2 linked regions of the Saccharomyces cerevisiae S288C genome follow. The gene in region 1 interacts genetically with each later gene. Each region holds a gene or a part of one and is shown in the gene's direction. Other genes may lie near its edges.

Region 1 (4,656 bases):
TACGTTATTCCTGATGTAAAGGATACAAAATGGGTTTCTTTATTTTGCAGCAGAACCGTAAAATTTACGCTACTTTTACCGTGGGTCCTCTTATTTGATTGTTTCCGTCGCTACGAGCGAACAAGGGGTGGAGACAATAGGGATGGTGAATATATACACATACGTTCATATATAAGAAAAAAACTCAAGAAGAATATCAAACGACCAGGATCCTTGCTTATATTATTGTCTGTTGCTGGGCCAACACATATTTTCATTTCAACACACCAATCTCAGGTATTAAAGAGAAATCATTGTAAGGTAAAAATGTCTACGTTGAAAGTTGTTTCATCAAAGCTTGCAGCTGAAATCGACAAAGAATTGATGGGTCCTCAAATCGGATTCACTCTACAACAGCTAATGGAGTTAGCTGGGTTTAGTGTCGCGCAGGCTGTATGTCGCCAGTTTCCACTGAGAGGCAAGACAGAAACGGAAAAGGGCAAACATGTATTTGTTATTGCTGGGCCAGGTAACAATGGCGGGGATGGTCTCGTGTGCGCAAGACATTTGAAGCTTTTTGGTTACAACCCTGTTGTTTTCTACCCCAAGAGAAGCGAGCGCACTGAATTCTACAAACAGCTGGTTCACCAATTGAATTTTTTCAAAGTTCCTGTCCTGTCTCAAGATGAGGGAAACTGGCTGGAATATTTGAAGCCGGAAAAGACCTTATGCATTGTAGATGCAATATTTGGTTTTAGTTTCAAGCCTCCCATGAGAGAGCCATTCAAGGGCATTGTCGAAGAACTGTGCAAAGTGCAAAACATTATCCCGATTGTTTCGGTGGACGTCCCCACAGGTTGGGACGTTGACAAAGGTCCGATCTCTCAGCCCTCAATTAATCCTGCTGTTCTTGTATCTCTGACTGTCCCCAAGCCATGCAGCTCTCACATAAGGGAGAATCAAACAACTCATTACGTGGGGGGAAGATTCATTCCTCGAGATTTCGCCAATAAATTCGGCTTTGAGCCATTTGGATATGAATCCACAGACCAAATATTGAAACTCTGATAGCCCAAATCTATAATGCCACTACCATACATAATTTTTATATAATCCCTTATTTTGTGAACAAATAGCCATCATGATTCTCTTTTAAGATGATAAAACCGTCGTTTCTTTTTCTGACGCGCCATCTTTTCTTTTTCTATCTGTCTTTTTTTTTTTTCCTTTGGTGTTTCATCCGAAGAAGAAACAAAAGAAAGAAGACCAATACTTTCTAAAGGGCAATTGCAAGGTAGATATAACTAGAATTGCACAATAGAGATTGCTTGCATCAGTGGCATAGTTAACAATATTTTCTCGGCCTCCTTTGACGTAAAATCTAAAAGACCTAGTGCTTTCAAAACCCGCGCATACTGAAAAAAAAAAAAATAAAGAAGAGTGTACTGAACTGGTACTATAATTCATCGAAACTCATTTATTCCATATTAAACCGGTAGAAAACAGTATTTTTTTTGGTCTGTGTTTGAAACAGAAATTCTAACTGAAAAGTTTAGGATTTACGTATAGTAAGAGTAATGTCATTACCGGGTACACCTACTACATCTCCGACCCCGATGGATGAGGATACTGAACAAGCCGTTTCGGTTAATACTGAACCCAAAAGAGTAAAGGTTTACATTTTAGAGAACAACGAATGGAAAGACACAGGTACAGGGTTTTGTATAGGGGAGGTGGACGAAGGTAAGTTCGCATATCTTGTTGTCTCAGATGAAGACTCCCCAACTGAAACTTTACTAAAATCCAAACTAGAAGGAAATATTGAATATCAACGGCAGGAGGAAACGCTTATTGTTTGGAAGGATTTAGGGGGGAAAGATATAGCCTTGAGTTTTGAAGAAAGTATGGGATGTGACACCTTATGTGAATTCATTGTTCACGTCCAAAGGAACATAGAGTCAAATATTTCTTTAGTCACCGTAAAATCCAGCGACAACGGACTCGGGTCTGTTCACGACATTATAACGGGCCCTGTGACCTTGCCCTCCAACGACCAGCAACAGAATAGTCAAACTTTACTAGAAGCTCTAAAGATTTTGAATGAAAATACTTCTTTCGATTTTTTGAAAAACGAAACCATTGAGTTTATCCTCCAGTCAAATTACATTGATACACTGATTTCTCATTTCCACAAAGCAGAAGAAGAAAAGATACCGAAGGATTTATTTTTGCTAAGTAACATCATCAAAACTTTGATACTTTACAATAAAAGAGACATATTGGAGTCAATGGTGGAGGACGATAGGATTATGGGAATAGTTGGGATTTTAGAATACGATACTGAATACCCTACATCAAAGGCAAATCATAGGAAATATTTAGGATCAAAAGGTCCCAATTTCAAAGAGGTTATTCCATTGGAAAATGAGGACTTAAAAATAATAATGAAAAAATGTTTTCGCTTACAGTTCTTAAAAGACGTGGTATTAGTACGATTTTTAGACGATCATAATTTCAACTTAATCTCGGAAATTGTCATGGACCTGGAAACGTGTATAATCGACTTTCTTCAAGTAGGGACGTTTTTGGACAGACTAATAGAGCTTTATGATACCAAAACCCTTCCAGAAAGCTCTTCAGAGAAGGAGAAGTTTGTACAAAAACGAAAAGACGGGATTAGATTGTTGCAACAGTGTGTTCAAATGTCAATCAATTTAGATGCGGTTGACCGTTCTAAGTTCTATAAAACACTTGTTCGAAAGGGTCTATTCAAAGTTTTAGATTATGCATTTCACATGGAGACGGATAGTAATGTTAGGATTTTAGCTACGGATACTATCATTACTATAATCGAACACGATATCTTGTTAATTCACAACGTTCAGAATGAAGATTCTTTCAAACGGCAACATAAATCAGCGCCCGATGACAAGTCTTCCCATCGGAAATATCCGCAGGATTACAGCTCCAGTACTGATTCCAAGTTGTTATTGATACTTTCAACCATTCTTCTGTCCGACAGGAGTCCCGGATTGCGAGAACAAGTTGTGCAAGCGCTAAATACTTTGCTTCACCCTGAAGGATGTGTGGGTAATGGAGAAGGTTCATATGATCTTATGGGCAGATCAAATTATGAAGCTAAGAACACATCTGAAGATTTCCCAAGTTTCAGTTATGGTTTAAACTCGGATTCAATCAATTTAAATAACTATCACTATAGCAGCGATGAAATGAATAATCTAGAGCCAGAATCTGAATCTGAATTTCAAGTAATGGAATATTTTGCAAATTTCTATAATAAAATCGCACCCATACTGTTTGGTCCATTAATCAAGAAGGATATCACAACGGAAATGGCAGAAATAGATGGGCAAATAGAAAAGGTTACAAAAGACGATCTTTTGTTAATTCATTTAGTGAAATTGGTATCATTTGTTTGCACTGAGCATGATCGTGTCTTATCCAGAAGATTCATATTAGAAAACGGTATACTAGATTCTGTTAGCAAACTTATCGGCGGTAATCATATGATGCAGCTAAGGTTAACAGCAGTAAGATGCATTAAAAACCTTATGTGTCTCGATGATAAATACTATCATCGATATATGATTTCAAAAAATTTATATGCGCCGGTTTTTAAACTCTTCCAGGAGAACATAGATAAGAATAATCTTGCAAATTCATGCATTCAAGATTTTTTCCGCATTATTATAACAGAATGTAGAGCTTATCAAAGTGATGGCCATAACAGAAAGGAAAAAACCAATGGTTCTTATGATGGCAACGGTAATGACGTCAAAACGAACGTGAACAACAATAGGACAAACTTTACCATTTTAAACAAATACTTAGTTCAAACATATGGTGATGTCTTGAGAAAAGCTACTGATATCCCTTTCATCCAGGATATGCTAGAAACCGGGGAAGAAAACCAACCCGATCATTCTAGCTTTGAAAATAGCATTGAAGGGGGGAATGACATTTCTGTAAATATGTCAACAGATGGATTTGCTTCGAATCATTTAGAAGATATTGACATTAAAAACGTCAAAAGATTACATTCTGAGATTGAACACTTTGAAAATGACCCCCATTATTCTGGTGATCAGTTAGCATTTAAAAAAAGCGTTGACCAAATGAATGCAAGTACTTGAGTTTTTCCTTGTTGGAAAGAAGAATAAAAAGCTAGCACAACGGTCATGGTTGTAAGAAGTTTAACAACGATAGTGCACTCATTGTATATAAAATTCATCAATATACAATTAACTATCAAAAAGCATACGAGAAAGTGTCATATAATAATAGTACTCAATACCTATACGTATTATAATTTAGATGTCATACTCTTTATTAAGGCTTCTGGATACAACTCATGTCCAAAATAGGTCCCTAAATGCCACATACCACCGTCAACAACTAAGACGGTACCGGTGACATACGATGCGGCGGGTGAAAAAATATAAACAGTAGATTCGGCTATATCCCGTGTAGATCCAAGCCTTTGTAATGGTATCTTTGCCAAGGCCTTTTCCTTATATTTTTTGCCGGCTAATCTCTTCAAGCCTTCCGTATTATCGATAGCACCTGGAGCAATGCAATTCGAACGTATACCCAGAGGCCCCAACTCAACCGCTAAATTCTTTGCCAATGCGTCTATTCCCGCTTTAGCAGCGCCCA
Region 2 (5,177 bases), on another chromosome or scaffold:
TAAACACTGGTTCGGAATACCAATGAAGTATACATATTCTGGTTCAACAACTGTTTCTATTCAAAAACTTTGAATGTTTGAAATGCGCTACGTCTATTTGTTTGCAATTTGTATTAAGTTTGTTTCAAGCTCCGAACTAGGAAAAATCAACAATCTGCTGCAAGGAAGATTGATATACACAGATAATTCCGTTGCGACAAATGTATTAGAATCCAAATTTCCATTCTTGAAATCAACATGTGTTAAAGACGCACTAAAATTATTTTTGCCACAATGTATTGCAAATGGACTTGAATCCATTGACGCTGAAACAAGGGTAGAAACGGCCATTAAACTTTCAATATGCGAGTTTCAGGCATCTGGCTTGGGCGAAATACCAGAAAATTGCATGGTTGACGACCTAGGATCAATGATGGATTGTATGTTTGAACTAGAATCATCTTCACAGTGGTGGACAACTTATAGTGGAAATTATCAGCGACTATCGAGTATTTGTTATGAAAATCTTCTTCCTTTTGAAAAAGAACAGATACTGAAACTTTTTCTAAATATCACTGAACTTTATGATTCATTTGGGGATGATGTCGATACTAAGTTAAATCATCTGATGTTTCAAATGGAGCAAGATTCTCAAAATTTTTTGGACGATCTGGCCAGGATGTTCCGCAACTATGACAATGAACTGCGAAATGCGACCGAAAGCAATCGAATAATCTTAGAAAACGACCTCTCATTTTTTAGAAATAAAGTGAATGATGTACTCTATGAAACTTCCGAACAACTAGAGGTCCAAATCATAGAGAAGAACAGTCAACTAATGAATGAAGTTGATACCGTCCATCATATTATGAGCGATCTAGCCGATGAGCTTGCTAAAAATGACATAAAATCTAAGATAAATGACTTGAAGGACGACAGCCTGAATAATTTACAGGACCTAGTGGAAATGTCCAACGACGTAAAAGAATATTACTCTAGAAATAACAAGTTAGTTAATACCGAGTTGGAAAACTTCTCGATGGGTTTAAAAAAACAGTTAGGAGGCATGTCAAAGGATCTTTCTGAATCACAAATGGAAGCTATAGAGCTCTTGCAAGGGTTCAATTCCATCCTTCATGATTCATTGTTACCATCCATGACGGATGAGATAGTACCTGAGATGACGAACTTCAAAAATACCTTACTACAAGAATGGACAGCTATAACATCTACACTAAATGGAGATTTTGCTTTATGGAATGAGGAGATTTTTTCAACTTTTAATGATATTTCAGAGAAACTGAATGGCACAAAAAAAAAATTAGACGACATTGAAATCAGAGTCTCACTTGTCCATAAAAATGTCATGACAATGATGAGGGTATTGGATTTTATGTGGAAAACTAGTAAAATGATTATAAGATGTGGGTACCTTGCAGTCAAGAATAAATACTACTGGTTACTGTGCTCCGTTGTGTGGATTTGGTCAAAATACCGTACGTCTCGAGTAAACGTCAAAATGATTCCTATTAAACGCTATTACCAATGGGCAGCTCTTCTACTTTCAATTTATCTAGGAGCTAAGACTGGCTCATTGATTGATTTTTAACATTACCGATGTAACAATATATGAAAGCCTATATATACATAGATGTATAGGTATATAGCCGCATTCAAAGTCTAGCAAAATAAATATTCTTTAAAAATTCAAGGACACCGGATCATGGTGGCCATAATACGGGCAAGTGAACCTAGAGAAGGTGTCCTACGTCACTATCCAAGTTAATTTGCTTAAGAGAGTTCGAGTGCAGCACCTACAGCTTTATCATTGAAGACGAAGCAAAAAGATCTTGAGATTCTATATCATGGGCACAGGTAGTATTCATTAGGTAGTAGTAACGTATTAAACAAGGCCATACTATATTTATAACTCATGTTCAAATACAACCGCTCACTCTGTAGCAGCGCTTTGATAGCAAAGTCTCAGATTCGTTTTTATAGATTGAAGCGGGCGCCATTGAATTATGCCTCCCATATACCTGAAGTTCTTAATAAGACCATCATAGGGCCAGACGAACCAGAAAAATGTCTCATTTTGAAAGGAAAAACATCAGAGGAAATCGAAAATAATCTTCTCAGTAATAAGAAATTTCAGGAGATCAATCCTCTTGATACTATCCAGGAAACGTTCATTCAATATCTGAAATTTTGTAATGAAACTAACTTTAAAAGAAGTAACAAGAATTTAAACAGATTAAAAAAAACCTTAGAAAGCAAGGACTCTAATAGCACCGTAAAAATTAATGCAGTTTTCAATTATTTGCTCGAAGAGTGTGATTTAGAAATCAAAAGATTGAACACGACCGGCCAAACCCAGGTATACAATGAAGAGAAAGGAAATGAAGATGACTTAGAGCAATCCATAATGAACGATATTTTCCGATCAGCACAAGAACAATTTGAAGATCAAGAGGGCCATATACCGTTAAGGAGTACATCATTTTTACTGGAGATTTTGAAAAGTTTTAATGAACGGTTTAATGGCATAATCAAACCGAAAGAGTCAATAACAGAAATGGTCACATTCAGCCAACTTGCTCAAGCTTTTGAAGTTGTTAAATTGATACCAGTGCAAGAAATGAAGGAGAAAGGGATTTACTTGGTCGGAAATTTACTTTATGGCACAGGGAAAGTTCGTTTAGATCCTATAAATGAGTCATTCTATATTGAATCCCTACTAGTTTTTGGAAACTATAAGGCTGCATACAGTTTATTTATTACCAATAAAGACAAAGTAAACGAGCGCTGGTGGAATGAACTAGGATTAATGATCACATTAAGGTCTAACCACTTGAGAAACTTCAGGAAACTTTTAGCCGAGACAGATGCAAAGTACTCAACAAAGTATTCTTATTTGAGCCCAAGAGTTACCAAATTGAGCATACGAAAATATTTGTCGATTGGCAATGTTACTGAAGCTAATATACTGACTGATCGATTTATTAAGTTAGTGGAAGAAGTTGGAATAATCAGAATGAAAGATGAGCAGGAGGAACTTCCCACGGGAGTTAAAAATTTTCAGAATGAGAAACATGCAACTGAGTTCTTAAATGAACTAGAAATACCATCGGATCATGATTATATCAGCATTGTTGATTTCCATCTTTATAAGAGAAATATTCCCATGGCGGCTCAACTTATCAGCAAGTACATGGAAATACCTGGAACGACACAAGAAGATGCCGCATTTCTACTTGTTAAAACCAAGCTAAATATGTTGAAAGATTTTGAAAAGCTACGAAACATTTTTGCTCAAAATAAAGATTATGTAGTGCCTGAGAATAATGTGAAAATGTTGCAAGAGGCATTTGAGAGCGTTATTACTAAGTATAACACTAATTCTCCAATATACAATGAATTGCTGTTTGAGAATGTTTCGGCCTTAACAAAAAGTATTGTATTAACTGATTTTCTGGAAGAGTTCATTACTAAACAGGCTTCTGGACAGTGGATGGAATTAAACAGTGTGTCACGTTCCAGAAAGTTTAATGGCTTGTTGAACATACTTCTCGGTACAGGTGAAGAAGAAAAAGCATATAATATCTTAAAAAAACTAGAAGAAGCCTCAAAGAAATCAAAAACAGATCCAGATTTACTCTATAATCAGTTTTATTCGGAAGTTAATGCATATCATTACGCTAAATTTGTTGAATTTTATAGTCTTCAAATTCAAAATATGAAGGCACAAAATACGCCCTCATTTAGAAAAAAGGAATTTAAGCAGAAAGTGAAGTCACTTTTAAAAAGAATGCAGGAGTCAGAGGTTATCCCAAATGCTGTTTTTTTGAGAGAAATACTCAATTTTTATGATAGCATGTATGACTTTAATTCAAGTTTTGAGATCATCAATCCGCTACTTGAATCCAAACAACAGGTGAGCTCTGAGTCTTCATTATCCACCTCAAACCCTTGCCGATTTTACAACCGTCGCATCATAACAAAACCGCTGTACCACAAGATTTGGTCTGTGTATTGCCATTATTATCATGTTTTACAAAATAATTCTAGGATTTTATCGAAAAAGTCGTCCATTGTAAAGAAATTAATAAAAAGGCAGATAAAGATTCACCCAACTTGTCACCCAAGAGTATTGTTCCAAATGACGGCAGAAAATGGTGAAATTTTGCCAGACAAAACTTTTTCTAAATTAATTGTGTCCACGTTCATGAAAAGCGGGGATTTAGAAGCAATACCTGCCATATTAACGTTTCTAACGAAAAAATTTGACTTGAATATTGATTACGATTTGAGTATGTATATTCTAAAGGGTTTGAAAAGACAATATTTACGAGATATTAGTAACATCAGTAAAGATGCTTGTGAGTACAAGTTACGGAAGGCGGAGCTAATGAATAATGAGTCAATCTTAAAAAACATTCCACAGGGTACAAATCAAGAGAATACAATATCCCATTTGATCAGGGAGATTTTGATCTTTATAAAATGGAAGGAAAAAAGTGATTGTTCTACTTTCTTGATGGTAGAAGATGCTTTTAAAGAATTAGGAACAGAGTTTACTTTACTCGAAGAATTAATAGAAGATGTAAATAAGTTAAAGATAAAAGCCTAAAAAAACGGATGCATTTTATATAATTTTAGCTATACGTGTACATATTTGTAATAAAGTTAAAAGAGGAGACTGTTTAGCTTTGTATTTATTTTTTACTTAATTTCATCCATTTAGGTACTCTATTTAAAGTCTTTTTGATACTTGTAGCGTTATCAGAAGGGCCCTGTGGATTGGATTTATTTATCGTATTAACTGATGGGGTTGTCCTCGTTTCGTGTGTGATTTTTTGTGCGTCTTCCAAAAGATGAGCCTTTATTAATGGGCCATTAGAATTTGAATTTGTTTCAAAAAGCAGCATTGTTTTAGAGCCAAATTCCAGGTCATCCAGTAGCTTCTTATCGTCTTTAGCCAAGGGTTTGAAAGGATGAGATTGGTTTAACGTAAAAGGCATGTTCTCATCGATCAGGAACTGCGACACGACGTTATAAACTGTACGCATGTCTTCATTGGGTTTGAATGCTATTTGAATATGGCTTCTATCGGGGAACTTGACTCTCAGCAAACACTCAGATATAGCCTTATTTTTCTTTGGCAAGTTGTTGGCTGATTGCTCTCTAAGTCTCTTTGT

Evidence for each region.
Region 2: mutations in PSY2 (region 1) and SOV1 impair growth when combined (synthetic growth defect), as found in Saccharomyces cerevisiae (one study listed by BioGRID).

The regions. Positions count from the first base shown.
Region 1 is NC_001146.8:260,104-264,759, reverse strand, and holds PSY2 (Psy2p), read left to right. Parts: upstream 1-1,556; coding exon 1,557-4,133; downstream 4,134-4,656. Other genes in the region: NNR1 (NADHX epimerase), read left to right, coding at 307-1,047; SPS19 (2,4-dienoyl-CoA reductase (NADPH)), read right to left, coding at 4,304-4,656.
Region 2 is NC_001145.3:399,629-404,805, forward strand, and holds SOV1 (Sov1p), read left to right. Parts: upstream 1-1,912; coding exon 1,913-4,609; downstream 4,610-5,177. Other genes in the region: KAR5 (Kar5p), read left to right, coding at 74-1,588; UBX4 (Ubx4p), read right to left, coding at 4,695-5,177.